Lytechinus pictus: one gene and its partners. Each later gene encodes a partner of the first gene's protein in a complex. Links are inferred from orthologs where the notes say so. Each region holds a gene or a part of one and is shown in the gene's direction. Other genes may lie near its edges. The genes, in order: nucleoside diphosphate kinase homolog 5-like, ropporin-1-like protein and DPY30 domain-containing protein 1-like.

Region 1 (11,020 bases):
TCCTTTTTAACATTAGATAATAATAATGGTATCTCTGAGATAAAACACCGCAGGTTGGTGATCTTGGTGCCAAAATCCAAAGACTTGTACAAGAAGATTAAACAACACTAAAATAAGTATAAAGAATAAACTTTCACCCTTGAAATCCTAGATCAGAGGAAATATATAATCTATATGATATAAAAATAACCAAAAACAATATCTTTTGTGTTCATATTTTATATCTGAATAATGTAAATAACCATGGCTAATTTGTAATGAAAACATGGAGGTTTCATAATTTCGGTCTGAAATAATGAAGGCCATGGAGAATGTATTTAGGGGTCAGAGGTCAATGAGCCCTTTCCAAAATATCAGTGGAAATTAAGTTTAAAAAGTTGATAACCAAATAACACTTTTTCATATACTGCGATGCATTGCCAAAAGCACTGAAAAAATAAATGAAATCAAGTATATAATTTGAAATGATTTTTATCTTAAGTAGCAACATTTAATGCATCATTATATCTAAACCAATGTTGTCGTGTCTTTTCTCTCCAGCGATAGGCCACTCACATCAATGCTATAATAAATACTATAAACTATTAGCTTAATCTTCTGAAAATGGATAGGACAGGTCTAACTCTCATGTCACAGCTAGCATCTTCTGAGAGCATTTCCAAACAGCAGAGGGATGATGATGATGATGAAATGAAGGCCATCATTAGAGCTGCAGCTTCTGTCATATACATGTAGTAAATTATATATATATCAACTTCAACAAAGGTGAATTCCCGTATAATTAGTATCTTTCATCAGTTCATTGCGAGCTGCCAGAATATCTTGTGATGCTAATGCTGCAAGACAAAACTTCATATCTGCTCTCTGCCGTACGTCACCCATGATGCTATTTCTACTAGGTATCAGTTTGTACAAGGATCATGTTTTTGGTCCAGAACAACTGATTGTTATCATGTACAAATGTGGCATATAACAATGCAATTCAAAAGGAGATAATAGCTTACAAGTACACATCCATCGACCTAACAAAACTCCTACAGCACCACTTCCAGTTCTTGAGAATCAAGATGTGCAATTATCAGTAATAATATAGATCCTGGTCTGATATCCCTTGACAGAACGTTAGGCTTTCATTGAATGGGCCAGATCAAAGTCTTGAAAATGTCAGAAGGTTTTCAAGAGTTCAATTACTCTTTGCTGAAGTTGAGACACTTAACTTCATCTATGACAAAAAAAGCTGCAGCTCTAATGATTGCCTTATTTTAATTCTTCGTCATTGTCCCTGGCTATATGAAAATGTTCTCGGATGATGCTTGTCATAAGACTTAGGCCTATCCTTTCCATTTACAGATTAAGTTATAGTGTTATAGTATTGATTGTAGCATTTGAGGTTAGTGACCTATTGCTACAGAGAAATTAGTACCTTGATTTAGATTTATAAAATGCATATCTAAATGCTTTTTTTTACACTTTTGTCAATGCATTACAGTATATTATTAAAAAAAGTGCTATTTGATCCAATTTTACCTCGAACTTGTATTTTGACATCATCATTGGTCAAGGATTCAACTATTAAATTTGTGTTCTTTTTCCACGCAGGTCAGTCTTTTTCCCATCTGAATCACTATACCTACGTGCCACAATCACGTTATATCGACCTATTTACTTAAATTCCCTGACACTATTGACATAGTTGATTGACCTTTAACTCCTAAATATATTTTCCATGGCCATTTTATATCCTTATTTCTTTCAGAGTGAAATTATTAGACTTCCAAATGTTCATTACAAATAGTTATCTTTCTTTCTATTATTCACAAATAAAATGTGAATATAATGGATTAATTTCTTTTTTGGGGGAATCATGCATGGATATATAAATATTTATCAACTTTTGACCTTTGACTTTGGATATTGGATAATTCTGTATGATTATTTTAGTTTTTTTTATCTTCTTGCAAAAATTGCTTTTTGACATCAAAATCACCAACATGCAGCATTTTATCTCAAAGATACCTTTATACGATATATAGCCTATGTAAAAAGGTCACTGACCTTTGACCTTGAACTTTATGGGTTAGTATGCATTCTAGGTGATTAATTTTATTTTATTTGACCTTCCTGTAAGAATCTGTGCATTTTGACACCAAGATCACCAACCTGCGCCTTTTCATCTGAGAGATAGCATTATACCGAATATGGTATATAATGTAGAAAAAAGGTAATTGACCTTTGAAAGGCTTTGACCTTGAATTTTATTGTTTAATGTGCATTCTGGGTAATTAATTTGATTTTATTTGATCTTCCTATAAGAACCTCTGCATTTTGACACCTAGATCACCAACCTGCACCTTTTCATCTCAGAGATACCATTATACCGTATAAGGTATATAATGTAATAAAGGTCATTGAACTTTGAAAGGCTTTGACCTTGAATTTCATGGGTGAATGAGCATTGTAGGTACTTGATTTGATTTTATTTGATCTTCTTGTAAGAATCTGTGCATTTTGACACTATGATCACCAACCTGTAATATTTTATCTGGGAGATACCATGATACAGTATATTTAAAAAGGTCATCGACCTTTGACCTTGAAAAAAAGCACTTTCCCCAACCCGTATTCCTCCTAACTTTTTTTTGGTAAATGTTGACACCCATACCTACTCAAATCAGTCAAAAAACCATTTCCAATAATTTTATTCCAGTTGGTTACTAATTACGGGATACTAGTATCCCTAAATTAGACCCCAAAAGAGCCAATCTGGAATAAAATTATTGGAAATGGTTTTTTGACTGATTTGAGTAGGTATGGGTGTCAACATTTACCAAAAAAAAGTTAGGAGGAATACGGGTTGGGGAAAGTGCTTTTTTTCAAGGTCAAAGGTCAATGACCTTTTCGTATCTCTGAGATGGAAAGGCGCAGGTTGGTGATAATGGTGTCAAAATGCACAAATTCTTACCAGAATATCAAATAGAATAAACTTAAGTACCTAGAATGCACATTCACCAATAAAATTCAAGATCAAAGCCTTTCAAAAAGTCAATGACCTTTTTTACATTATATACCATACCGTATAATGGTATCTCTGAGATGATAAGGTACATGCTGGTGATCATGGTATCAAAATGTACAGATTCTTACAAGAAGATCAAATAAAATAAACTTAAGTACCTAGAATGCACATTCACCAATAAAATTCAAGGTCAAAGCTTTTCAAAGGTCAATGACCTATTTACATTATATACCATACTGTATAATGGTATCCCTGAGATGAAAAAGCACAGGTTGGTGATCATGGTGTCAAAATGCATAGATTCTTTCCAGAAGATCAAATGGAATAAAATTAAGTACCTAGAATGCACATTCACGCATAAAATTTAAGGCCAAAGGTCAATGACCTTTTATATTACATATGTATCTCTAAGGTAAAACGGTGCAGCTGTTCTTGGTGTCAAAACACGCATATTCTTACAGGAAGATAAAATAAAATTATGCATCGAGAATGCACATTCACCCATAAAATTCAAGGACAAAGGTCAATGTCCTTTTTAACATTAGATAATAATAATGGTATCTCTGAGATAAAACACCGCAGGTTGGTGATCTTGGTGCCAAAATCCAAAGACTTGTACAAGAAGATTAAACAACACTAAAATAAGTATAAAGAATAAACTTTCACCCTTGAAATCCTAGATCAGAGGAAATATATAATCTATATGATATAAAAATAACCAAAAACAATATCTTTTGTGTTCATATTTTATATCTGAATAATGTAAATAACCATGGCTAATTTGTAATGAAAACATGGAGGTTTCATAATTTCGGTCTGAAATAATGAAGGCCATGGAGAATGTATTTAGGGGTCAGAGGTCAATGAGCCCTTTCCAAAATATCAGTGGAAATTAAGTTTAAAAAGTTGATAACCAAATAACACTTTTTCATATACTGCGATGCATTGCCAAAAGCACTGAAAAAATAAATGAAATCAAGTATATAATTTGAAATGATTTTTATCTTAAGTAGCAACATTTAATGCATCATTATATCTAAACCAATGTTGTCGTGTCTTTTCTCTCCAGCGATAGGCCACTCACATCAATGCTATAATAAATACTATAAACTATTAGCTTAATCTTCTGAAAATGGATAGGACAGGTCTAACTCTCATGTCACAGCTAGCATCTTCTGAGAGCATTTCCAAACAGCAGAGGGATGATGATGATGATGAAATGAAGGCCATCATTAGAGCTGCAGCTTCTGTCATATACATGTAGTAAATTATATATATATCAACTTCAACAAAGGTGAATTCCCGTATAATTAGTATCTTTCATCAGTTCATTGCGAGCTGCCAGAATATCTTGTGATGCTAATGCTGCAAGACAAAACTTCATATCTGCTCTCTGCCGTACGTCACCCATGATGCTATTTCTACTAGGTATCAGTTTGTACAAGGATCATGTTTTTGGTCCAGAACAACTGATTGTTATCATGTACAAATGTGGCATATAACAATGCAATTCAAAAGGAGATAATAGCTTACAAGTACACATCCATCGACCTAACAAAACTCCTACAGCACCACTTCCAGTTCTTGAGAATCAAGATGTGCAATTATCAGTAATAATATAGATCCTGGTCTGATATCCCTTGACAGAACGTTAGGCTTTCATTGAATGGGCCAGATCAAAGTCTTGAAAATGTCAGAAGGTTTTCAAGAGTTCAATTACTCTTTGCTGAAGTTGAGACACTTAACTTCATCTATGACAAAAAAAGCTGCAGCTCTAATGATTGCCTTATTTTAATTCTTCGTCATTGTCCCTGGCTATATGAAAATGTTCTCGGATGATGCTTGTCATAAGACTTAGGCCTATCCTTTCCATTTACAGATTAAGTTATAGTGTTATAGTATTGATTGTAGCATTTGAGGTTAGTGACCTATTGCTACAGAGAAATTAGTACCTTGATTTAGATTTATAAAATGCATATCTAAATGCTTTTTTTTACACTTTTGTCAATGCATTACAGTATATTATTAAAAAAAGTGCTATTTGATCCAATTTTACCTCGAACTTGTATTTTGACATCATCATTGGTCAAGGATTCAACTATTAAATTTGTGTTCTTTTTCCACGCAGGTCAGTCTTTTTCCCATCTGAATCACTATACCTACGTGCCACAATCACGTTATATCGACCTATTTACTTAAATTCCCTGACACTATTGACATAGTTGATTGACCTTTAACTCCTAAATATATTTTCCATGGCCATTTTATATCCTTATTTCTTTCAGAGTGAAATTATTAGACTTCCAAATGTTCATTACAAATAGTTATCTTTCTTTCTATTATTCACAAATAAAATGTGAATATAATGGATTAATTTCTTTTTTGGGGGAATCATGCATGGATATATAAATATTTATCAACTTTTGACCTTTGACTTTGGATATTGGATAATTCTGTATGATTATTTTAGTTTTTTTTATCTTCTTGCAAAAATTGCTTTTTGACATCAAAATCACCAACATGCAGCATTTTATCTCAAAGATACCTTTATACGATATATAGCCTATGTAAAAAGGTCACTGACCTTTGACCTTGAACTTTATGGGTTAGTATGCATTCTAGGTGATTAATTTTATTTTATTTGACCTTCCTGTAAGAATCTGTGCATTTTGACACCAAGATCACCAACCTGCGCCTTTTCATCTGAGAGATAGCATTATACCGAATATGGTATATAATGTAGAAAAAAGGTAATTGACCTTTGAAAGGCTTTGACCTTGAATTTTATTGTTTAATGTGCATTCTGGGTAATTAATTTGATTTTATTTGATCTTCCTATAAGAACCTCTGCATTTTGACACCTAGATCACCAACCTGCACCTTTTCATCTCAGAGATACCATTATACCGTATAAGGTATATAATGTAATAAAGGTCATTGAACTTTGAAAGGCTTTGACCTTGAATTTCATGGGTGAATGAGCATTGTAGGTACTTGATTTGATTTTATTTGATCTTCTTGTAAGAATCTGTGCATTTTGACACTATGATCACCAACCTGTAATATTTTATCTGGGAGATACCATGATACAGTATATTTAAAAAGGTCATCGACCTTTGACCTTGAAAAAAAGCACTTTCCCCAACCCGTATTCCTCCTAACTTTTTTTTGGTAAATGTTGACACCCATACCTACTCAAATCAGTCAAAAAACCATTTCCAATAATTTTATTCCAGTTGGTTACTAATTACGGGATACTATAGTATATCTCTATGCTATCAACCTTGTCCTTGTACGATAATCACCTCGAACTTAATGAACGCAGAGGGCGCTTTATATTTTGTTACTTGGCAACAGAAGCAGCTGACATCGAGATTTCGTGGGCTAATATTCTCTGAAAAATCACCAAAATGCCTCAAAACGACATAGAGAACAGAATGATGGAGCCTCCTCAGGTCTATGTAGAAAGGACTCTTGCACTTATAAAACCAGATGCAATCGACAGAGCAGTCGAAATCGAGGAAATTATCCTGCAGTCGGGTTTCACTATTTTGCAGGTAAAATTATCAATATCACAGTCCCAGATACTGCAGAATGTGTCATGTTCCCTGTGGTTGCTGTGTCGTGATTGAGCTGAGTGACTGTGTGTGTCCTTTTGTTGGTTTGTCTTCAATCATGTTTTGTCGAATTGCATTTAACAAACCTTCTTCGAATAATTTTCCATCAAATACTCAGTTTGTTTCTTTAAACTAGGCCTTAACCTAGTTAAGTTCTAGGTAGGAATAGCCCTAGGCCCCTATTCCTTGTCTTTAGTTGTCGGGTCAACTCGGACCACGGGACATCTCGGACCGCGGGCCGAGTTGTCCCACCCATTACGAGATTTTTTTTTCACAAATCTGCGTCTATTTTTCCGTCATTTCGTAATTTCTTGTAAAGATTTTCTAGAGATATGGTCTGATGGTAATGACTAATGTTCTTCACTTTCTATTACTTTTTTTTCGCTGAAATAAAAAAAAAGTGTAATTTTAGGCGTTTTTCGACAGCTCGCGATTCCCATAGGCGCGCGTGTATTAACTGTGTCGGTGCTCGGCTCGGCCCCGCTCAACAACTGACTTGATTTTGTGATCATTTATCCTCAAGTTACCACTTTTATCGCAGAAGATGGACATTCTTGTATTCCATTAACTCCATTTTCTCATCACAAGAATAAAATTTGGTGCATTTGCACGATTTTGTTAAAGTTTTTCACCTTTTCTCTCTGGTCGCAAGAAGCGAACAACCGATGAACGGTCCGCTGCTCTTCATCGCAATTCTACGTAGCTCGGCCGCCTAAACTGGCGGGGTGGGATTCAGCCCGAATCCCCAATGGAAGTGGGCGTGCGCAGTCAAAGAGCTGAGCTTGACTGAGTGAGAGAGTGAACTAGAGCTTGAAGCTTGGCAGTGTCGTATAGGTTCTGCCTTTTTTTTGTATATATTTATAAGCCTATATATTTTTTTTATTTTTTCTATTTTTATTTTCCCTGGTGTAGAGCTTTAAGATAATAATTTAATATACTTCAATTTCTTTGACTGAGTGTGACTGTGGTGTGGATGTTTGAGTCGCACAAAAAATACTTTTACGATCAGTGTGGGGGCTCGGGGCGATTTCACTCCTGCCCCCGAAATGTGAAAAAATATTCGCAGTGTAGATGTGTGGGTATGCCGGGCTGAGGGTAGCCATCAATAATAAATGTTTATTTGGGGGCTTAATTTTTAACTTCAAATTGATTATTTTTAGGCCTATTTTTTTTTTCATTTTATTTTATTTTTTTATGTTGAGTGTCCCTGGTGTAGAGAGCTGAGTTTTAAGTTGTAATAATCAATATGCTTCAATTTCTTTGACTTTGAGTGTGACTGTGGTGTGGATGTTTGAGTCGCACAAAAAATACTTTTACGTGGATGGGGGCTCGGAGCCTCTTCACTCCTGCCCCCGAAATGTGAAAATGTTCTAGGTGTATCTGTGTGGGCATGCCAATTTCATTTTTATTTTTTATATTGAGTTTCCCTGGTGTAGAGAGCCGAGTTTTGGAGATGGTGAGAGGGGCGAGGATGTGAGGGATGGCGATGATGAGGGGTGGGCCTTGATGATGAGAGGGACGAGGAGGTGAGAGATGGTGATGATGAGAGGGATGATAATTTTTGATGACTCTTAATGAGAAGGGGGGGGGGGTGATGAGAGGGATAAAGGTAATGAAAGAGATGGAGATGAGGATGATGAAACGGACGAGGATGTGAGGGATGGCGATGATGAGGGATGGGCCTCGATGATGAGAGGGACGAGGAGGTGAGGGATGGCAATGATAAGAGGGATGGGGATGATGACTCTTGATGAGAGGGGTGCATGGAGATGGTGAGAGGGACAAGGGTGTGAGGGATGGGGATGATTATGGGAGGAAATCCCAGGGGGGGACGTGTCCCCCTACCAAAAATAGTAAAGGGACACAATATCAAATGTCCACCCTACTATTTTTCTTCTTGTATGATGGAGAACAAAATAATACATCATTCACAATTGAAATAATACATGTATTTAGGACTAAATTAATGACCTTATATTTGTGAAAACCCCCTTTTTTTTCTTGTCAATTATTTTTGGGTTATAAAATGACCCTACATTTTGGGCGATAACCTTTTTTTTTAATGCTTGTCAAATTTTCCAGCCCCAGGTCCCCCCTGGGGACAGATTTCCGCCCATGGGGATGATGATAGGGACGAGGATGATGATAGGGATGAGGATGATGGAGAGGGAAGGTGAAAAGCCGGCAGAGATGGATTTAAGAGAAAAATTCCGTCCGACGAATGCAGTCATGAAGATTCCGTCCCACATGATAACCCAAAATTATGGCTTGATTTTTGTTCTAAATCATGTTATGTGATGAAAATCACACTAGGCCCTACACGTATTTTGGTTATATTGAAAGAAAATAGGGGTAATATTTTTTCCAATTATCAATAAATTAAATTCTTCATTCAATAAAAATGACGAATTTATGATTTTGAATTTCATTTCTTTTATATAGCATGTGGTTTTTCTTTTTTATTAAATTTATTTTACTTTATTTTTCATCACTGTATCATGATTTTTGTCTCACCTGGATAGCAGAGTGAGACTATAGGCGCCGCTTTTCCGACGGCAGCGTCAACATCAAATCTTAACCGAATAAGTTTCTGAAATGACAGCATAACTTAGAAAGTATTTGGACATAGTTCATGAAACTTGGACATAAGATTAATCAAGTATCACTGAACATCCTGCAGCGAGTTTCAGGTCACATGACCAAGGTCAAAGGTCATTCAATGTCAATGAACTTTGGCCATGTGGGGGTATTTGTTGAATAACTAATTTTGAATAACTATTTTATTGTAGTTTTCAAAGTCAGCACTGCTCCCGGGCACTGCTGCTATATTAAATCGTGTAATGCAGGTGTCAGGTAAGACTGCCAGTGACGTTCCACTTGTTGTATCATTACAGGGCTCTCTACTTAACTCAGTTTTTTTGTCTCACCTGCATAGCAGAGTGAGACTATAGGCGCCGCTTTTCCGACGGCGACGGCGGCGGCGGCGGCGGCGACGGCGGCGTCAACACCAAATCTTAACCTGAGGTTAAGTTTTTGAAATGACAGCATAACTTAGAAAGTATATGGACCTAGTTCATGAAACTTGGCCATAAGGTTAATCAAGTATTACTGAACATCCTGCCTGAGTTTCATGTCACATGACCAAGGTCAAAGGTCATTTAGGGTCAATGAACTTAGACCATGTTGGGGGAATCAACATCAAAATCTTAACCTAAGGTTAAGTTTTTGAAATGTCATCATAACTTAGAAAATATATGGACCTAGTTCATGAAACTTATACATAAGGTTAATCAAGTATCACTGAACATCCTGCATGAGTTTCACGTCACATGACCAAGGTCAAAGGTCATTTAGGGTCAATGAACTTTGGCCGAATTGGGGGTATCTGTTGAATTACCATCATAACTTTGAAAGTTTATGGATCTGATTCATGAAACTTGGACATAATAGTTATCAAGTATTACTGAACATCCTGTGCAAGTTTCAGGTCACATGATCAAGGTCAAAGGTCATTTAGGGTCAATGAACTTTGGCCAAATTGGGGTATTTGTTGAATTACAGCCATAAATTTGAAAGTGTGTTGGTCTAGTTCATAAAACTTGGACATAATAGTAATCAAGTATCACTGAACATCCTGTGCGAGTTTCAGGTCACATGATCAAGGTCAAAGGTCATGTAAGGTCAAAGAACTTTGGCCACGTTGGGGGTATTTGTTGAATTGCCATCATATCTCTATTTAAGTGTATTGGTCTAGTTCATAAAACGTGGAAATAAGAGTAACCAAGTATCACTGAACATCTTGTGCGAGTTATAGTAGTTTTCAAAATCAGCACTGCTGCTATATTGAATCGCGTGATGCAGGTGAGACGGCCAGAGGCATTCCACTTGTTTATTAAAGAGACCACTCTTTCTTGAGAAAACAGAAATAATAAATAAATCATTTAAAGGGATGCTCCGGGATGAAAATATTTAATGAAAATATTTAATGAAATAAGCACTTTGATATAGTAACATTCACATATCAAAGTGCTTATTTCATTAAAATCTGACATCAAATAGCGGGGTTATTGAATTTAACGTTTAAAAATTAATCAATCTAATTTCATATAATAAAAGTGAGGATGTGACATCATAAGCTTGCTTATTGAATATCCATGTAGACACGCCAGACCTGTTTCACCAGAATAATGCAAATCATTCTTTAAAATGCAGCGATAATTTTGTTATTCCTTATCCGATTTTGATCAAATTTTTAATGTTTTCTTTGTTCAAATCATATCATTTTCAGCCAGGAGTACCCCATTATCACTGATATATAACTTATTAAATAATATTGCCACAATTTGTTCAAGTTGTTCAAATTATCTAGTAAATACAATAATTTTAT
Region 2 (10,985 bases), on another chromosome or scaffold:
GATGATGATGATGCTGCTGATGATGGTGGTGGTGGTGATGATGATGATGATGATGATGATGATGATGATGCTGCTGATGAAACGATGATGATGATGATGATGATGATGATGATGCTGATGATGGTGATGATAAAAGTGGTGATGATGAGGATAGTGATGATGATGATAATGGTGATAATGATGATGATGATGAGGATGTTGATGATGAGGATAGTGATGATGATGATGATGGTGATGATGATGATGATGATGATGATAATGCTGATCATGATGGTGATGATAAAAATGGTGATGATGTTGATGATGAGGATAGTGATGATGATGATGATGATGATGATATGAATATGTATAGGTCCATAACGTAACAAAAGCTATTATTCTTTCTCCCCACAGGTACACCTCACCCATTATGACGTCACATGTATCTCCTCCGTTCAACCTGTCCTTCACTGAAGCGTCCTTCTTTGGGCTGAGCAACCTCGGTGTGTCACAATGCCTGCTCGACCACGGATCCGTCGTCCTCTCCGACATGCAGGCGATAGGTGGGACGTCGTCCAGTGCCATCATCGCTGCTGTCATTTTAACGGCTCCTGAAAAGTTGCAGGTAGGCCTAAATAATTATCACGATTATTATAAATCAAACTATAGATGTCGGAGTCATGGAGCTGGGGCATTAAATTTACTAAGGGCAAGATCCCCCCCCCCTTCCGTTCCGGTTTTATATTCACTTTCCACAACTTATTAAAACTTTGACTAATAAAATCATTTTCCCAAATGTGTAGGCCTATCATTCTACCTCCCATTCTGTCCCTTTTTTCTCACCCTCTACCCATTCCCTCTCCTCACTTCCCTTATTTCGTTTACCACTTAAAAAAAAAAATCACTTTGCATTTTTGTTAGATTTTATTAATCAATAGAGGCCTTAATATTCAGAATTCGAATTCTGTTCGTCAACCATCTTCATTTTCTTTATTTTTTGACGAAAATATTAGAACTTTGTCGTTAGATTTTGCCGTTTTAATATGTAATTTTACTTATACTATGTATACTAGATTGATTCATTATTTCGTGTTTTTTTTCTCACTTAGGATTTACTCTGTGGCCTATACAGTATCGTCGACGATATTTCGTCTCTCCCATACGGTGCCATCACACCAGGCTTTGATTTAATTGGTCGTCTGCGCGCGCTCCTTACCCAGCTTCTACCAATGAACGCACACGAATTAGCATCTCATAAATTATTCATCCAGGCCACCGAGCTGCGATTGGTCGATAAGTACGACCCGCTGACCGTTCATGACGTCGATCAAGGGACGAGCTCGTGCGTGAGAACCAAGGGACCGAAAGTATTTGAGGTTGGTGATCGGGTTTGGAGCTTAGGGTCCGAGGTTCAGATCTCAAGTTATAGTACCAGAGAAGAGCTCATTGAAGTAAGTGATAATTCCTCTTATGTCTCCGAATTTCATTTAGATCTCCCTATACCCACTTAAATATTCCATTTCATATAGATCTGATATTTCCCCTTTCAAATTCTCTCTTTTTCTTTTCCTTATACACTGTTATATATAAGAATTGTAAGAGCAATTACATTAATTTATTTAGCTATTTCCTCTTTAAGGATATTCATAGCATATAATGATTAAGAATATTCCAGAATGTCTCAGTGAAGCTTTGTTAGGCATGCTATTTAATGAGATAGAATAATCTTTGTTATTACTGGAATGTATTAAGATAGACATTAGGCGGCCTGCAGTGAAAAGGACAATAGGATTAGCTATGTTGTTTACATTGTTAATTTCACTGAGGTCATTCAAGAGTCTAAAATTAGACTGCTCTAGAAATTCGCAGAATGTTCTTTTTATAGACAATACTAGAAGCTTCCAGAATAGTGAATTTGTATATAAGCTGACAGTTTCTTCAAGGACATCATCACATCAGATCAGAACTCAGAGTTTCACACCAGACTTTATGTCGGAGTATAGTTTATTTCCAACTGGAATATAACATTTATCTTCTATGGAATTATCTGCACGCCATCAATGAATTGTTTGCAGTTATTTTGAGAGAGTGTATGGTTAATTATTTCCTGTAATAAAAAAAAGGAAATCAAATTTGAAACTACATTTTCATTGTTATATGTTGCGGTATCGTAACAACACAAGTAACCAATTATTTATTCTTTCATTTTTCAAGGGGATCCACACTTTACAAGCATACTACCTTTTTAAAAATATACCTTATCGTCTTCAATTCTTCTTGCAAAGTCCAATAATTATTTTTTTGTGTGTAATAATGTTCATTCGTGAATTTGTATTTGGTTTATGGTCCTTTGTATCATGTTTGAATTGGGAAAGAAAATATAGTCTTGAACCCAGGCGTGGTTCCTGTTAAAATGGGGGCATGTGTCCCTTAAACATTTTTTTTTCTTCTTTTCAAAGTGATCATAACGTGAAAATGCTGATAACATTTAATTTGTTGTTGTCATTTTTTGGATGGGGTGGGGAGGGGAAAAAGTGCCCCCTCCCTGTCATAATTCCTGGATCATCTACACTGATATATCAATTCCTACTATATATTTTTTTCCTCGCTCTTTCTTCCTTGAAAAAAATTTATCGTTATCGTTATCTCTCACTAATCGAGCACCTGCTTGTTTCGTATAATACAGTAGTGAATATAGGCATTTAACATCTTTTTAAACGTTTGCTTTTGTTTATTTTATTTCGTTACAGGTTATCCTTGGGAGTGTCTTCGTTCCTTGGTTCACAACGTGGACACCGCCCTCTATAGACGGCAAGGTAGGATTTTTTTTTTTAACTCTTGTTATTATTATCAGCATCCAAGTGATCTCATTTGACACCCGTTTGGGGGATAAAGTTGTCTTTCATCTCATATTGCTATAATACCACCTCTTTGTTTTAGATAATTCAAGTCATTTCTTACAACGGGGCGATATATTGACAAACACCTCCAACCCAAGAAATAAAAGAAGAACTCCACAGCAAATAATATCGATTTGATAGTTTTGAAAATTGAATGTTAAGTATCATGTTGCTCTGATAAACTCAAGGTTCAACCCCCCCCCACCTCCATATTGTTAAAGATTTGTTTTTTCATTTTGCTTAATCTATTGTAAGGAATTAACTTTTCATCATATCTGGACCCGTCAGTTGACTAATAGTTTTTTGCGTGTTCAACTGTATTACCCCTCCCCCTTGCAGTTCCTTGGTGACGTCACCCTGTCCCGGAAGGAGAACCTCTCTACCGACGTGACCTTTCAATTCCCATCAGGCAATCTGATCAAGATCTCGCCAAATCCGAAAAACCGCCTCCGGATGCGGGACAAGATCGCTTGCGGTTGGGTGGACACAACCGGTCAGCGGTTCGACATCAGCGCGCTGCAGATGTACCGGATTGGGGATGGGCTTTTCCCGCCCCCAAAGGCCTATCTTGAGACCTATTTTGCGGACGGGTACGAAGATGCGACTAGGTTTTTGAAGTTGTATCATATTTACGAGGAGAACGGGAAAGGTTATAAACCTCATCGGGACTCGTATGCTGCTATTCATTCGGTTGAGGATCTTCGGTGAGGACAAATCACCATGGATACAACAACCATCGAATCGTCAGGGTTTGGATTTCCGGTTATAGTCAGATCCGGGTGTCACGAGCTTTCATGGAATAATTTTCTGATACCAGACTTTAGGAAAAGCTTCGGAAATGCCTATAAAAGAGATATATATTGGCCCGTCATTGGGGAAAATGAAATAGGTTTACCATCGAGAAATTAGGCCTATATAATCCTCATTACCAGGTCCCTCGATCGCCGGTAGACCTTAAGCCGTCGGTCCTCTGATTACTTGCTTACAAGCATTATGCTAATTTCTTGGCAATCAGGTAAAACATCACTAACCACCAATTATTGGGCGAAAGCTCTGCTCCTTCTGGCAACTGTCATGCATGGTGGAAAAAGCATTTACCATAAGGCAATTTCCTGTAGCATATGTCGTCTGCTGGTCGTAAATCTCGTTCTACTCTGTCAGATTTGAAATTAGGAGATGATATTCGAGCAATAAGATAATAAAGTATAATTTTTACGAATTAAGTATGCTGGTTATTGTGAATCTAAATTTAAAAAAATCCCCTATAAGACCATTTCTACAATGAAAATTAATTTGTTTTTACTGTACACTTTCCGACACTTTGTAAAGTCGATCCCCCCTTCCTTTAATGTATGCCATGTTTTGTGCAAATAAAAACATAATTTTTATGATAATGATTGAATTGTGACTATATTTTTAGATTATCTATTTTCATTTATTTTCTCATTGGGGTTGACGTTGATCGATCAATATGGCATTTTTCAATCCCATTCACATTTTGATTTTCTTATGTCTTTATATTGTAACTATTTATATTTGTATGTATGTATTTTGTTTGTACTAATATATTTTTTTTTACTCAAGATGTGGAAAATAAATTGAATTGAATTGAATTGAAAGGAGAAAAGGGGGCGACAGGTTGACAGAGACAGAAAGAATGTGAGAGAGGGAGAGAAAGAGAGAGAGGGGAGAGAAGGAGAGGACCAAGGAAGAGAGGGGGAGAGCTAGGGAAAGGTTACAAAAGGGGAGAGATAAACAGACAGACAGGAAGAGTGAGAGAGAGAGTAGGGGGCGGGGGAGAGAGAGAGGGAAAGGTTACAAAAGGTGAGAGATAAACAGACAGACAGGGAGAGTGAGGGGCGAGGAAGAGAGAGAGAGGGGGGGGAGAAGGTTAGAAAGGGGGATATTAGAATGTGCATGTGAGGATGGGTGTGTCCGTGAGAGAGGTCGGGGAAAAAATGAGAGAGGGAAAGGTTAGAACAGAGAAAAGTGAGAGATAGAGTTAAAATAAGAGCGAGGGAGAGAGGGCGGATGAATAGAAAGAGAGGAGGGGGGGGGGGAGGTTAGAAAAGAGAGAGAGAGGGAGAGTGTGAGAGGGGGATCGGCCAGAGAGGTGAGGGGAAGACAGGATGGGTTTATATGGACATTATAGACCAAACCAAGATTTCCATCATAGTTGTTTTAAATTTATTTATCGGGGAAGGGCAAACCTACTAAATGGGAGCGTCTATTTTTTTTCAACAATAAAATTATATAATTAAACATACCCTCTTTTCTTCTTCTTCTTCTAATTTTTATTATTATTATTATTGTTATTATTATCATTTATTTATTCATTCATTTCATTCTTTTTTTCTTATTTTTCTCCTCTATGTATAAGTTGGGTAGTCACATGTGCTCTGCCCCATTTTAGCACCATTCCTGCCTATTATGCACTGACTCAGACAAAGTCAAGCCTTAAAAAACATTTGCCTACCAAATGTTCAAAAGAATGTCACAATAATAATGGCAATAATTATAATTAATATGTTAAGAAAGCCATATTCAGTGCTAAATCAATATATTTATAAAAAATAAAAACGGAGAATAGAAAATATGGAGAAAGATGGTGCTTTCCCACACCATCTTTATATGCATAAGTAAACAGATCAATATTGCTATTAAAGGTCATGTCCACCCCAGAAAAATGTTGATTTGAATAAATAGAGAAAAATCAAACTAGCAAAAAACTGGAAATTTCATCAAAATTTGATGTAAAAAAAGAAAGTTATGACACTTTAAAGTTTTGCTTATTTTTCACAAAACAGTGATATGCACAACCCAAATGAGAAAGTCGATGATGTCCCTCACTTACTATTTCTTTTGTTTTTTATTGTTTGAATTATACAATATTTCATTTTTTATTGATTTGACAATAAGGACCAACTTGACTGAATCATATAGTATTAAACAATGCTCGTTCAACATGTTCAGGAAGGAATTAATCGTTGTTTCACTTGACAATAAGGAGAAAAAATAGAATATTCCCTATTTCATATAATAAAATACAAAAGAAATAGTGAGTGGATGACGTCATCAGTCTCCTCTTTTGCATACCCGCCAGGATGTGCATATAACTGTTTTGTGATATATTAAGCAAAACTTTAAAATATCATAACTTTCTTATTTTACATCCGATTTCGATGAAATTTTAGCGTTATGCTTGTTGGATTTTTCTCTTTTTTTTAATCAACTTTTTGTTTGGGTGGACTTGTCCTTTAATTTAGGACGAAAATTATTACAGAAAATAAGACCGTTCTGTTTATTGCACCAATCTTCAGTTTTGCCCCGTTCACATTTTCTGCACCCGGCCGGCCTCCCGACAAACATATTTTGTAGGATCTAGCTTCCTCCCGGGGGGCGCATTAGGGTTAGTTTGGGGGCGATGATTTAATTTTCAGTTGAAGTTCATTAAAATATATTAATTTTGCAGGCCTATATGACCAAGCCCACGCAATTCCTTCCCCCCCTTTTTTTCTTCTCCCTTCTCTTTTTACTATTTTCAAAGTCGCCCTGCCCAACACCCCCCCCCTTCCGATACTTATTTTGTCCATTAGCCACGGAAAAATATCCGTGGGCGCGCGGCGGCGAGATACTTTTTAGATCGAAAAGAAAAAGTTTGAGACACTGACGATTCTGCGCATGCGTGAAATTCTATGTTGCCTTGTCAACGCTGGTCAATCAAGAATCTTTTTCCAATCTAGAATCCTACATATTTCTTCCGTCACGTAAGTATATTTTAGGAATTTGTTCTAAAAATAGTAAGAAATAATAAGTCTTCTCATTCCTAGGTTTCTGTATGTTTGCTTTATTGCAAAAAGTTGCATTTTATGTGTGATTAGTTTTCCCAGTTTCGAGTAAATTTATTTGTGTAGTCCCATACATAGAATTTCGTGTTGGATTTTTGACCCAGAATGATTTCTATTGTGTCGGTTTGTTTTTCTCTTGTAAAATGTAAGTTAAGACTAAGTGATATTCATATGTATCTTTAACGATTCTTATGTTTGTTGTGTTGGTGAGTTAATTCATGACAAAATCTGGTCGTGAGTCAGTGGAGTTCGACGTCTAAACTAAAAGTAAAACGTCTCACTCTCAAGAACAGAGATGTGAGAAACAGAAAAGAAAGAGAGAAAATTGCAAAATGAGTTGGCTCTTCTCCCCCTTGTTCTCTTTCGTCATGCAAATCTTTTTTACCTCTCCAGTCTTGTTCTTGTCCATTTTATTTATCTTCCTCCTGCACCTAGATCTATTCCTTTTTTACTTTCTCTTTTTCTTCCCATTTCTCAAAGTAGGGTGTCTGGAGAAAAAAAATATTTTTCTTATTTCAAGAAAATATCACATTTTCTTTGTGAATTTGAGGGGAAATGACCTTCAGACTGACAGAAATGTAACATTTTTGAAAAAAATCAAATTATTGGATGCAAAAAAGAAGAATGAAATTAGGTAAATTTTCAGCATTTCTCTGCCATAGACTGTGTAGTTAAGAAATGGACACACACAAATCCGAATTTTTAGCTTCCGAGAGCTGTTATAAATTTATTATTAATGCCAAAAACTTGTCCATAAAGAGTCCAATAGGATTTTTTATGCTCTATCTGATGGTATGATTTTTATAAAGATTTGGAAACCAGATCACAATGAAAAATTGCGACAAAGTGAAAAAAATTGTGCAAAACAGAAATTTCATTTTCCCATAGAAAACGCATGGAGAAATGGCAATCTCAACACACACAAAAATAAGGGTTTGCAATTTATCTCTAAATCCTTATTTAAAATGATCCTATAAACTTGTCCTTACTGTCAAAAGAAGCCCCTGAATTTTCTCTTTCCATACATGCCAAACACAAGTTAATAATCAATTCAGATCACATTTTTCTAGTAGCCTGAACTTCCCCGAAAAAAATGTGCCATATTTTCCCCTAAATCAGCCTGTTTTATGCTGACACTTTTCAGTGTGGCTTCAGACACCCTACTCAAAGACTCAAGCCTCCCCACTTGATTAAAAAAATTCCCCTTTCTCTCATTCTACAGACTCGCAAAATAAGAATCAAGATGCCAGGAGTAGGTGATGACGTACCTATGTACTGCTCACAGCAGATAAACATTCCCCCTGACCTACCTGATATCATGAAGCAGTTCACCAAGTCTGCCATCAGGACCCAGCCGGCTGATGTCCTTCAGTGGTCAGCAGCGTAAGTCCAAATCAGTGGCCTGTTTCGTAAAAATTTTTATGAAAAATTTGGGCAACAACAGATACTGAAATCCTTCCATATAATAGTAAATTTGTTACAGGAAAAGTGCATATGTTTTGATAACATTTCTTTATGAAATCCGACCCAGGATTTTAGGATGGGGCAGTGTCTGGATACTTATATTGATGTCATTTTTTTATAGCAGTAAATTCTTGACATGCATGCATTAATATAAATAATTCTAATAGTTTATATTTGTAATGTTGTCTTACATTACATTGCTTTCAAACAATTTATGAAATATTAATCACGACGTTCCCAGGATTTAATGCTCAATTAACTCCATCACAGAAAAATGTTGATTTGAATAAATGGAGAAAAATCAAACTTGCATAACATTGAAAATTTCATCAAAATCGGATGTAAAATAAGAAAGTTATGACACTTTAAACTTTTGTTATTTTTCATAAAAGATTGATATGCACAACTCGGTGACATATATGCAAATGAGACAAACAATGATGTCCCTCACTCACTATTTTTTTTGTTTTTTACTGTTTGAATTATACAATATTTTATTTTTTACAGATTTGACAATAAGGACCAACTTGACTGAACCATATAGTATTAAACAAGGCCAACTCCTCATGTTCAGGGAGGAATTAATCATTCTTTCACTTGACAAATGACAATGAGGAGAAAATAAAAATATTTCATATGATAACATACAAAAGAAATAGGAGTGGATGATGTCATCAGTCTCCTCATTTGCATACAAACCAGGATGTGCATATAACTGTTTTGTAAAATTATGCAAAACTTTAAAATCTAATAACTTTCTTAATTTACATCTGATTTTGATGAAATTTTCAGTGTTATGCTTGTTGGATTTTTCTCTTTTTATTATAAAAAATTAACTGTTTGTTGGGGTAGACTTGTCCTCTAAAACAACCTGTCTTGACATACGACAACTGGGTACTTCTGAAATGGGGTAACAATTATGAAATTAAGTTCTTTCAATTTAAAAACAGCATATTGTGAGCAGAAAACCATTTGCCTAAAATTCCCAAAATGTTTGTTTTGCTGAGCAATAACCAAAGTTATTTTCTTGGCAGCCCCACTTTTGACCCAGTTTAAATTGCAGTTAACCCGGAATCGTTGTCGTTACCCAGTGTCTTAAAAAGATTTTTAGCTTTTAATTTATTGGCTACCCAGTATCCACAAGGTTTGCAAGACTGAGATAATTGATTCATACTTTCAGTAAAACCAGAGCTTAGAATACAGCCTTTTGTCCTCATAGACTTGTCCTCATTTATGAATATTTAGTTGTTGTTACAGATAGCTTTTCCCCTTAGATTTCCGCATGAAAAAAACATTTGTGTGTTCCTATTTTGCAGATATTTTCATGCCCTTGCCAATGGGGAGACACCCCCAGTGAAGGAAAGGCTTGAGATGCCCATGGCCACACAGAAAACAGACACTGGACTAACACCAGGAATCCTCTCAGTGCTTAACAGACAGGTATGTTCCCAAGGCTATTTTTTTTAAAATCATTATAGATGGCAATGTCATCAATATTCAAATCTTAACCAAGGTTAAGTTGTTTAAATGTCATATCTCACAAAGTATATGGACCTAGTTCATTAAACTTGGACATATTGGTATTGAAGTTTCACTGACCATTTGGCATCAGTTTAGTTGTTTAGATAGATATACCCCTTTGTGTTTCTCTAATATAATCATTTTCAATAGTATGAAATATAAAGCAAACTATCTCTTTTGATTACAGTAGATGCCTAAGACAAATGATCACTTCTGTGCCAATATCAATGTATATGAGATCTTTCCTCAATTTTGCTTTGAAAAGATTCATGTAGCTCCAGCTAGGGAGTATTTCATGAAAGGTTTTGTCAGTGATATTCATTTATTTGCTCTTAGCCAATCAGATGCAAGGATTTCAGAAACCTATAACAATAGGTAGTCAATGAAAATCATTGACTATTGACTATATATGTTTCATGAAAATGCTCGAAAGAATTGATAGTTTGTCCTCTTACCTACACAAATGAGAGCGAAGTTAGCTCAGTCGATAAAGGGTCTGACCGTCGAACCAAATGTTGTAGGTTTGAGTCCACCCCGGGCGGATTACTGAAGCCTGCGTTGTTTGTGAATGTAGCTCCACTGTTCCATAGATCCAGGCTGTGTTATAGTGGAAAATATTCTGTCTCTTGGATAGGGCATTAGATTGAGGCCCCCTGTAGAGGAGAGTTGCCACCTTCGCATGTTATAAACCCACTGCACTATTGGTATAAGAGTAGGGCGAAACCCAGTGTAGTGGTTCACCTGCACTCCCCCAATCAGTTATATCAGGAGAGACCTGCGGGTCACAGTAATTCAGTTCGCTTTTCGCCTCCCATGCACAGGTGATGCCAAACAAATGATAATAACATTTGCATACGATTTGTTTTTTTCATCCCTCAGCTTGGTCCTAAGAAGAAAATCTCACTGGAAGAACTTGAACAGAAATGGAAGGATAACTGTCTCCCTAAGGAGAGAATGTTCAGCTTGATTCAGATTGGTAGCTTCGGGGATGAGATCGAATGGCCAAAGTTCTTTGCCCTTGCCTGCTCAGCTCTCGCAGGGGTAAGTTTTGTTGTTCTTTTTAAGCCTCAGGACATGCTGGATGTAATGCATCAAAAAGGAATTGTTTTGATGATGAGATGATGATGATCCACATCATTTATATTGCATCATATTTCTGTTGAAACATTCATAGGCACAGGCTCATCCAATTAAGCTAATTGCTAAAAGTGGGATATCTTAAGTCATGCTTCTGTAACAATTGTTCCTTTTCAATCTTCCATGTTCTGTGACT
Region 3 (11,238 bases), about 11 Mb from region 1:
CACCTTGGCTACCTTCAGCAATTTTGTTAGTTTGCGTAATTAGCATATTCTTCTAATTAGCACATGTGCGATATGTAATATGCTATTTCTCTTAACCCAGAAAGAATGAAAACATAAATAAAATCATTTTTCTAAGCGGTCCTGTGACGAGGAATCGATTCATAACAATAATTTAAATATCTAAGTTATGCAATTATCGTAATCAGCCTAATTAACATAATGAGCTAATAAGCACAAGTGTAACATACACGTATTTGTGGATGTCTATCCAGATAATGTTGATCAACGAGGTCCGTCTGTGAGTGCTGGGGCTGGATTCTGGAGACTTTAATCTCTCTTTTTCTTATTTCCTTTTCTATTTTAATTTCCCCTATTTCCTTTTAATTTAACTGGTTCATGCTCAAGTTGTTATTTTGATTTTTAATGCTATGCAACTACAAGAATATTTATTAGGAGGCTGCACTCTACAAGCTCCGCTTTTTAGCAGCCTCCTCCATTTCCAACCTGATATGTAATAATCTTGAATATAATTTTTGTACAGGAATACTTGAAATATGTTTTGTTATTTATATGTTAAAATGTACAAAATAAACTGTATTTGTTGAAAATGGAAATAAACGAAATGAAATGAAATAAAATAATGCCCAGTATTTAGATAATGTAGCCCTCCTATGGTTTTGTTTTTATGGCGAAGAATCCATTTATGATATTATTTTTCAATTTTAACCAATGTTATCGCTGTAATTAGCATAATTAGCTTATTGCGCTAATTACCATATATGTGTGTAAGATAATATATATTCCTTTGCAATTTCATATCGAGAATGCCCGAAAACATGAATAATACAGCTATCCTATGGTTTTCTATGACGAGGATTCATTTATGACCTTATTTTCCCCTTTATACCGATGTAATTGTCGTAATTAGCATAATTAGTATAATACTTTAATTATGTGCAATATATATATTCCTTTGTCATTTTATATCAAGAATGCCCGAAAACTTGACAAAATATCCCATGGTTTTTTTATGACGAGGAATACATTTATGACAATATTTTCCCTTTTTTACCAATGTAATTGTTTAGTATAATTATTTGCATAATGCGCTAATTAACATATATGCTGTGTAATATATATTTTGCTTTGTCATTTTACGTTGAGAATGCCCGAAAGCATAAACAATACGGTTACACTTCGTAATTCCGAAGGTTCTTTATTCCGAAGGTTCGTAATTCCGAAACACGTAAATTGCCTATACCTCGATGTTCGTTAATCCGAAAACGTAAAAGGGTTCGTTAATCCGAACATTTGCGGCGTTATTCCGAAGGTTCGTTTTTCCGAAGGTTCGATAATCCGAAAACGAACTAAGGTTCGTTGTTCCGAAGGTTCGTTAATCCGAAAAACGAAATAAGGTTCGTTGTTCCGAAGGTTCGTTAGTCCGAAAACGAAATAAGGTTAGTTAATCATTTAGTTTTCGGACTAACGAACCTTCGGAATTACGAACCTCATCTCTTTTTCGGATTAACGAACCTTCGGAATTACGAGCCTCATTTCGTTTTCGGACTAACGAACCTTCGGAAATACGAACCATCGGAAATACGAACCTTCGGAATAACGAAGCTTCGGAATTACGAATGTATGCGAAACAATACAGCTATCCCAAAGTTTTCTATGATGAAGAATTCTTTTGTGACATTAGTTTTCCCTTTTAACCAATGTTATTGTTGTAATTAGCGTAATTAGCATAATGCACTAATTAACGTCTGCAATATATATATTTCTTTGTCAAAGTACTGTGTACATCGGCCTAAAAACATATAATAGTTCTTCTAATATTTTCTATGTTGAGGAATTAATTTATGACAATAATTTTCCTTTTTAACAAATGTCAATGTCTTAATTAGAATAACGCACTAATAACATCTTTATCCAATATATAAGTATATATCCCTTTGTTAGTTTATATCAAGAGTGCCTGAAAACATGAAAATACAGCTATCCTATGGTTTGTGGTAATTAAAATATAAGTGCAATTATTTCTTTGTCACTGTAGTTATTATCTCGCCTGCATAGCAAAACGATACTATATAGGCGCCGCTATTCCGACAGCGGCGGCAACGGCGGCGTCGTCAACATTGAAATTTAACCAAGGTTAAGTTTTTGAAATGTCGTCATAACTTAGAAAGTGTATGGACATAGTTCACGAAACTTAGACATAAGGATAATCAAGTAATGACATCCTGCCTGAGTTTAAGGCCACACGACCAAGGTCAAAGTCGCTTAGGGTCAATGAACTTTGGCCATGTTGGGGCTATTTGTGGAGTTGTCATCATAACTTGAAACTTATATCGATCTAGTTCATGAAGCTTGGACATAATTAATATCCCTGAAAATCATGTGCAAGTTTCAGGTCACATGACCACAGTCAAGGCCAAAGGTCATTTGGGTCAACCAACTTTGGTAATGTTGGGAGTATTTGTGGAATTGTCATCACTTTAAAAGTTTATGGATCTGCATGTAGCTCATGAAACTTCGACATAAGTGCAACCATGTAGGCCTATCCCTGAATATCCTGTGCGCATATCAGGTCACATGACCAAGATCAAATTGGTCATTAAGGTCTGTGAACTATGGCCGTGTTAGGGGTATTCGTTAACTTGGCATCATAACTTTAGAAAGTTCATGGATCTAATTCATCAAACACAGACATAAGGGTACATACATAAGTATGAATGAATGTTTTGGACATGAACGTGTTAGGTCACATGATCATGGTCAAATGCCATTTTGGGTCAATATTGAAATATGAATGTTTCCTATTGTGAATATTTTATTCAATAGCTGTTTTCATAGCCAAAATTGCTGCTATATAAAATCGCATAATGCAGGCGAGACTGCCAGATTCGTTCCACTTTAATTAGCTCATTACGCTAATTTAACATTAACATTGTTAAAAGCGAAATATAATGTTATAGATGAATTTCTTGTCATAGAAAACTATGAAATAGCCGTATAATTAGTGTTTTTTGGCATTCTCGATATAAAATGACAAAGGAATATATATTTATAGGTAATTATATTGCTCAGATATGTTAATTTGCACATCATGCTTAATTAAAACAATAATGTTTGTTAAATCGGAAAAATAATGTCACAAAAGAAATCATCATCATTGAAAACCATAGGATAGCTGTATTAACTTCTTTGAGGCATTCTCAATATAAAATGACAATGGAATATATATATTTCACATATGTATTAGCGCATTTGGCAAAATAAAAAAAAATTGAAAAAAATAATGTCACAAAAGAATTCCTCGTCATAGAAAATCATAGGATAGCTGTATTATTCATGTTTTCGGGCATTCTTGATATATAATGACAAAGGAATGTATATTCATATGTAATTTTATTGTTCATATATGTTAATAAGCTTATTATGCTAATAATAAATGAATTCCTCGTCATATGGAATAGTTGTATTATTCATGTTTTGGGGCATTCTCGATGTAAAATGACAAAGAAATACATTATATATATATATATATATTTATATATATCAAAGCTGGGGGCCCGGGTTCGATTCCCGGCAGAGACATTATTCGACATATCATTTTTTTTCCAAAAGGGTAGATAGCTCTAGGGAACCTTGATTTAAGCTACGCCTATACAATGTTCTCTTCATCCATTTCTTTCACAATATATATATATATATATATGTATACATATGCATGTATATATTGCACATTATGGTAATTAATGCATTATGTTAATTATTCTAATTAAGACATTGTCATTGGTTAAAAGGGAAAATCACTGTCATAAATGAATTCATCAACATCGAAATCATTAGAAGAGCTGTATTATATATGTTTTCAGGCCGTTGTAGACAGCACTTTGACGATTAAATCTACATATCACACATTATGTTAATTAGTGCATGCTAATTATGTTAATTACAGCTATTATATTGGTTAAAATTGAAAAATAATGTCATAAATGAATTCCTCGCCATAGAAAACCATAGGAGGGTTGCAGCAGCAGCATTACCTATACGTATTGGGCGTTTTCTCGATAGACATCCATAAATACGTATGTACACTTGTAAACGCTGATTAGCCCATTATGCTAATTTGGCTGATTACGATAATTGCATAACCTAAATATTTAAAAAAAATTATGTATCGATTCCTCGTCACGGGACTTCTTCGAAAAATGATATAATTTATTTTTTTAAAGTCTTTCTGATTTAAGAGAAGTAGCGTATTACATATATGCTAATTAGATGATTATGCTTATTAGTCTAATTAAAAAATTGCTCAAGGTTTCCAAGGTGGCAACTAAGCTGAATTTACTTCAATACCCATCTAGATTACAAATCAACAAAAAAACTTGTATTTAACAACTTTTCCAGGTCTTGTACTTGGCCTAAACATGAGACCGTCTCTGGACTATATATATGCGCTTAATAGTTGGAGAGAGGGGAAAATTTCAAAAAGATAATGTCACCTGACGTAAAACATAAACATGAACATATTCCAGTTTATCCTAGATTTTTACTGTCTTTCTCTATCCATAGTGTTTCGTATGGTTTCTGCGATAAGGAATGGTTTCATTAAATAGCAATAAGCATAAAAGAAAAAATTGTTTCCAATAAGTAAACATAATCAGGCCTATAGTTGCTTTTTTAAAATAAATATACAAATCAACATCGACAGTTACAAAATAATTACAGAAGCAAAGTAACAAATGTATTCATTTATATTCTAAATAGGGTGGTCTCTTCATTACATAAAGTATACACTGTTTTTCGAGAGAGCCCTGTACATACAAAAATACATATAACAATCATGAAACATTGACAATGAAGGATTAATTAAAAAGACAAACTACACGCTATGTAAAAGAATCGAAATCATGGGGGGGGGGGGAAGAAAGAAAATTATATACACAAAGTAACCGGGAGTTAAACATGAAACTTGAAGTTTGTTGGTGATTGGAGCCAATTCGAGCCAATCCGCATCACGCAAACGGATACATGGAGCTACTATACGTCGGAAGGTTAGACGTGCCCCCAGAAAACTAGATGAGAAGACGTGAAAAGATGACAAGAAGACGAGGAAAGAAGACAAAAAACGAGATCCTCAATCTTGTCAAGTCTACTTAATTAAGCGCGAATATAGACAAGAAGACAAGATACATTATCTCGTCATGTCGACTTATTTAGGATGAGAAGACTGATCTCGTCAACTGAAGTCGACTCAGGACGAGCAGATGAGAAGACAAGATCCTCAATCTCGTCAAGTCGACCTATTTAGGACGAGAAGACAAGGAGACAAGATCCTCAATCTCATTCGTTAAGCCGTGAGGGCCGGAGATGCTCTACCATAGGCGGATCCAGCCCCCCACTGGCTGAGCAAAAAAAAGAAGAAAGAAGGGGAAAGAAAGGGGGAGGCCGAGAAAAGGAAAAATAAGAGGAGGAAGCTAGTGAATAAAATAAGGTGAGGGGAAGACTGGAAAATTCGAAAAATCTTTTTCATATCACGATATAAATTTTTTGCTCGCGCTTCAAGTAGGGCTTATGAGATTACTAGTATGTTGTTTAATAAGAATAAAGCTAATTAAGAAGTGTCTGTTAGGACTACCCCTACAGAGAAATAAACAAAAGTCTCTTTGAGCGGCCAATCGGGGTAATATAGGTCAACAAAATGTTGGGCCCCTTTTCGGCGAAAGCTGGATTCGCCCCTGACTAGTTTAAATTCATCGTTAAAATTATATTAAGGACGTTCCACAGTTATGTTTGTGCGCATTATGATCTGCGCATAGTTTACACTCTGCGCGCTGACGTCACAATGGATGAACAGGTGATTAATTAGCTGCGGGTATGAGCTGATTTTTCTCATCTTCTGCACTTTAACTGCAGATCCGATGTGTTATTTCATGAAGCTATAAAGTGGAATTATTCCATGGACCATTCAAAAAAACATTCTCTACAATTTCAAAATACTTTACTCTGCAGTGCTGCCAAGAATCACGAATATTACCCCGAGTTTGAATAAATGGTAGAGTGGTTTTGATTTTTTCTTCACATAGATACAACGCATTCGGCGCATTTTTGGTGTTTTAAAAAGCACATTTGCTCTAATAAAAATGATGATAGTTTAAAAACAAGCACATGAACCCCTATTTTTTAATGTTTGTACCGCTTAGGTATACCTTCTTCTACAACTCTGCAAATTTTGGTGAAAATGACATGGATTTTGAATAAAGTGCAGCATTTATTGTACGTTTGTAGTTTGTAACTGAAATTTCACATTTTTTAGATTGGGATTTTGTTATCTTTTATGCAATTTTTAAGAAATGGCAGTGCTGTTAAACTTAAAATTGCAAACAAATAGCACTATAAATAGATTCTCCATTCTAACGATACAATTATTAACTCTCTTGCGAAATTTGATGACTTTTTCATGTATTTTGACTGAGTAATAGAGGTTTAAACTCATTGTAGTAATCTTGGGTGGTCTAAAAATGCCAAATTCTTTTGAATGCGCAATTTTTAAGAACATCAATTTGGGTGAACTTTGAAGCTCTATAGCAAAAAATCAAGCACATGGACCTATGTTAATTTTTGCATATTTCGAATATTAAGGTTCTAAAGTATCTATGTGCAAAGTTTGGTGAAAATGACATGGATTTCACTTTAACTGTGGAACGTCCTTAAACCGAAAGTGGAAAAATTATTGAAAGGTTACATCGAGAACAATAAATTACTAGCAATTTTGTCTCGAATTCCGCTTCAATGTTTACATACCGCCCTCTACGTTGGTTGGAAACGAGTAATTGTTGTTGTGATTACAGAAATTGTTTTGTCTTGGCAACGGAATATAAATCAAACCATAATTCCATCTTAGAAGTGATTATATCAAAGGGAAGCTATCATAAAACTGTGAAATATATTGTTTTGATTGTAAGTGTTTTCATTTTATAAAAAGTGTAAATTATTTTATTGTAGACGGTTCTTATACCGGAACATCAAAATAAAGCATTCGTTACTCGGCCCCATATGCGCAGTTTTGTGTAAGGTTGACTTGAAGCCTGTCGATCGTCGAGTCTAGTTCAATCCATCGTTCGATAAATATGACTGAGATAATTGTCTAGACTAGAGTAATCTAGAATTAGATCTAGGCCTATGCTAAGCCCTAATGTGAGACGGCTAGTTACATGTACATGATGTAGGTACTAACCCAGGCAACCGAGTTGATGGTCTATCAGTATCAGTATCAACAGATCAATGTGACATGTTTCCAAATTCCGCGGGAATAGACACTAATACGACAGAGAGTCAGAGTAAGACAGCTGGCACAGGCAGCCGTCTGTTTCGAGTTTTTTAACATTAATTTTTTTTTTTAAATTTCTCCTCTTACACAGACAGCTCTCTATCGTGCAGCCACCATTTAGGGGGTTAACAATGCAAAATCCCCCCAGACGGGGCTCGTCGATTTTTGTCTTTAATTTTATTTCATAAAATTTATTTCATTTAATTTTATTTCATAAAATTATATAAAAAGAACTAAATCTACGGTACCAAATTAAAGATTAATATTCCGTTTTGGCCTGTAATGCACCAAAACGGGGAAAAATAAACTCAAAAGGGGAAAAAACAGTGACTTACTTCCGCTCTCGCGCAAGTGCGCAACTTCACTTAGGCCCTACCTGTTTTATCCGAACTTAATACATAGTAAAACATACATGTAAACATATGGCCATGAGTCCCCTGTACAGATCGAGCTAGAACTTCGGTCTCTGTATTTGGTGAGTGGAGCCAACGGAGTTCAGTGGAACAACTAACATAACAGAGACCGAAGCTTTTGCTCTACTCCGGGAAGAGAACACAGACACAGTCCCTATGGGCGGCCAAAAGTGCCCAAATTAACGGTTTGAGAAATAAAGACATTTTCAGAAATATAGGCAGCCATCAGAGAAATAAAGACAACCTCATAAATATAGACAACCTCAGAATTAAAGAAAACTTCAGAAACATAAACAACAACAGAAATACAGACAACCGCAAAAGTAAACAAAATGACTGAATTATAGTCCATCGCGAATAGCGCGAGCTCGTCAAAAATAGAGAACACATAATTTATGTCAGAAATTCTGTAGAGCACAGAAATTCTGTAGAGCTCAGAAATAAAGTACAGCATGTCAAACAAACTTAATGAGAGGGCCTAATGATAGATTATTAATCTACGATATGGCTTCGTGCATTCAGTAAAGTTAACTACCACATGCACACGTACTATGCGAGCATGCAGTATGGTCACTAGCGTACCTAAGGGGGGGCAGGGGCAGACTCTCCCCCCCCCCTGACGAGTCACAAAGCAAAAAAAAAAGGAAGCGAAAAAAGGGAAAGAAAAAAGAAGAGGAAAAAGGAAAGAGAAAAAAAGGGGGAAGGGGAAAAAGAAGAAAGAGTTTAAGAGAAAGGGGAAAACAAAAACTGGACTGCAGACTGTCGGAAAAAATAATAAACTGTCGGGCACACGGGGCTGTTCCAACTGATTCGGTTTTCTAGTTCCACCATCTTTGTCCGGTAAATGTCAATTGAACTGTACACTTTTATCGGTAAATTGTGATTTTTACGCAATGCGACTTTTAGAGCTCTCTGTACCGATGGTGAGTACGGACTGGACTAGATTTCTACTAAGTACTTTCCCTGTGAAAGATCTAACCCTAAATCATGAAAATGGGCTAGAACTTCATTTTCCACATTTATAGAATATCAATTTCATTTTTAAACAAATGTTCATTAAATAAAAACGAGAAATATATTTTTAGAAGATGGGGAAAAAACTTGCCAATGTTTACATAGCCATGTTGCTTTCTTGTTAGTAGCTAAGCTGCAAATAGAGTCTGCCGCCCTCTTTAGGTGTCTCATAGCTTAGCTACTAACAAAGAAAGCAAGATTTGGCTACATAGATGTCGGCAAGTTTTTTCCTGTCTTCTCAAATATATTTCTAGAAATTTCTTAATGAATATTTGTTTAAAAATAAAATGGATATTATATAAATGTCGGAAATTAAGTTCTAGCCCATTTACTGTAAACGCTGTTATTTTCGCAGGATTAATAATTCATGCTTGGCGGCTTCAAAACATATTCGCGGGATCTTGAATTCACGCTGTACTCTCCATAATTACAAAGTCACTTCTTTCTTCCCCATCTGTGAATTGTTTTAATTAATATTCAGCAACAAAATTGCAACGAAATACAATAGTTACAAAAAAAACAAAAAACAGATCAATCGAGAGTCTAAGTGCAAGCAAGACAACCACAGCAAGTAAACCATCTAAGATCTAGATGCCCAAAGTTATTGTTTCAGACTAGTTAAGCAGGGGAGCGTTTCATGAAAGGACTTGACAGATGTTTTATCCGACAACTCCCATTTTATCCGACAGTTACCATAGTAACAGTGCTTCTCAGCCAATCAAAATCCAGAAAAGTTGTCAGATCTGACAACTTGTCGGACAAAAATGTTGATGAAACGCCCCCCAGATGTTGTATCGTGGCCTAACTTACGCTATAAACTACTAACTACTAAGTCTAACCTTAATAATGGATCATGGAGTACTTCGATGGCCTGGTTGAAGCTCGGAAGCGATGCAAAGGTACCGTTGCAGAGCGCTCTGTTCGATCCTAGCTGGAGGATGTATACTGCCGGGGTATGTCATGTCCACAGGCCAGGTCATATACTCTTTCAGCGATGGATCCATTAGAAGCAAACTCAAACAACCACTCTCTACCTAAACTGTGTCTCCTATTTATACCCTGTGCCTGACTAGGAGTTACTGCTATGTCACTGCCAAGCATCAGTGAGCAAGGCATGACATTACAATAGACCCCTATAAATTGCCCAATGCAGCAGCTTAAGACTTACATAATGTTAATAGAAAGGGATGCATTGTCATTAACATACTTGTATCCAAGAGAGGGGAATGTCTATAGTCATAGTAGGGGCGGTGTTCACACAGCATACAATCTAGATTAAAGGAAGTGTTCAAATTAGTGCCCGTCTCTACACAGATTTCTGAAAACCTTTTCAGTAATATTATGAGTGTTGTTGTTACTGTTGGATCTAAATCCCACTTCTTTTTCTCTCCTTTACAGAGTTTAAGTCATCTTCAGACATGGATACAGAATACCTAAAGAAACATCTCGGAGATTGCCTTACAAGAGCGCTGGCAGAGGTAGCCGAGAAAAGACCGCTTGACCCTATTGAATACATAGCACAATGGCTCTATAAATACAAGGAGAATGAAATCTATGCAAATGAGGTATGGAAACATTTATTGTTTGTATTTATGTTAAAGAAATTACGGTATGTAAATTGCGCATTCTGACAGACAACACATATTGAAGCTTTTTAAAAAATAGTTTTGCTAAACATAAAATCTTATGTGTAAAAATTTGTAAGTATAGGTCTAGTGACTGTTATTTCAGTGATTTATTATATGTGAAACTTGGAAATAGACCTTGTGATCTGACAACATGACAGCCCATATGCCTGCAATATGATAAGGGCCCAAAAGGATTTTGAAAAAGAAAATTCAATTAATACTGAAAGAGGGTGCCAGATACCTTTTAAATTTTCACAAAGACTAATGCTGCAGTCACATGATTCCCCCTGTGGCCGCCTTACGGCTAGTCAAAAATTGCCGTTTCATCTAATTTGATTCAAACCACCTTCATATAGTTGATATTAAAAAATGCTTAAACAGCTGTTTTCTTCTTGCCGTATGGCAGCCGTAGGGGAAATGTGACTGCAGCATAATGGTTGGACAGAAAATATTCAAAGGCCATAACTAGATGTTTGTTAGATTAGACAACCGAGATGATACCTCAGTACAATTCACAATTGACACTTTAACCAAACTTTAGACTTGATTTTTCTTTCTTAATTTGCAGCAAGCAGACTTAGCTGTAAGACTGGAAGAGGAAAGGATAGAGGCAGAGAAAGAGAAGGAGAGACAAGAGAAGATGAGATTAGAAGCAGAAAGATTAGCACAAGAAGAGAGAGAAGCCAAAGAGGTAAGAACACCCAACTGTGGATGGTGGATAGCTTCAAGTATGGTGTTGAATGCTAGTGTTGGCATCGGAGAAAATAGAACACCAAGAACAAAACCCAACTTTGAGTGTAACAGGTTATTGGATTAATGTCAAAGGTGTTGGGCTATCAACATT

What was found.
Region 2: nucleoside diphosphate kinase homolog 5-like (region 1) and ropporin-1-like protein share a complex: the UniProt entries of both Homo sapiens proteins name them as parts of the axonemal radial spoke complex. The link is inferred for Lytechinus pictus from reciprocal best matches to the Homo sapiens genes NME5 and ROPN1L.
Region 3: nucleoside diphosphate kinase homolog 5-like (region 1) and DPY30 domain-containing protein 1-like share a complex: the UniProt entries of both Homo sapiens proteins name them as parts of the axonemal radial spoke complex. The link is inferred for Lytechinus pictus from reciprocal best matches to the Homo sapiens genes NME5 and DYDC1.

Annotation. Positions count from the first base shown.
Region 1 is NC_087262.1:20,225,082-20,236,101, forward strand, and holds the start of nucleoside diphosphate kinase homolog 5-like, read left to right. Parts: upstream 1-6,330; 5' UTR 6,331-6,426; coding exon 6,427-6,573; intron 6,574-11,020. UniProt on the Homo sapiens protein: Functions as part of axonemal radial spoke complexes that play an important part in the motility of sperm and cilia. Does not seem to have nucleoside diphosphate kinase (NDPK) activity.
Region 2 is NC_087253.1:25,057,016-25,068,000, forward strand, and holds the start of ropporin-1-like protein, read left to right. Parts: upstream 1-6,558; 5' UTR 6,559-6,646; intron 6,647-7,949; 5' UTR 7,950-7,970; coding exon 7,971-8,110; intron 8,111-9,507; coding exon 9,508-9,631; intron 9,632-10,591; coding exon 10,592-10,753; intron 10,754-10,985. Other genes in the region: patatin-like phospholipase domain-containing protein 4, read left to right, coding at 410-604, 1,089-1,430, 2,730-2,795, 3,219-3,587. UniProt on the Homo sapiens protein: Functions as part of axonemal radial spoke complexes that play an important part in the motility of sperm and cilia. Important for male fertility.
Region 3 is NC_087262.1:9,007,636-9,018,873, reverse strand, and holds the start of DPY30 domain-containing protein 1-like, read left to right. Parts: upstream 1-6,807; 5' UTR 6,808-6,969; intron 6,970-10,164; 5' UTR 10,165-10,184; coding exon 10,185-10,331; intron 10,332-10,962; coding exon 10,963-11,085; intron 11,086-11,238. UniProt on the Homo sapiens protein: Functions as part of axonemal radial spoke complexes that play an important part in the motility of sperm and cilia. Plays a crucial role during acrosome biogenesis.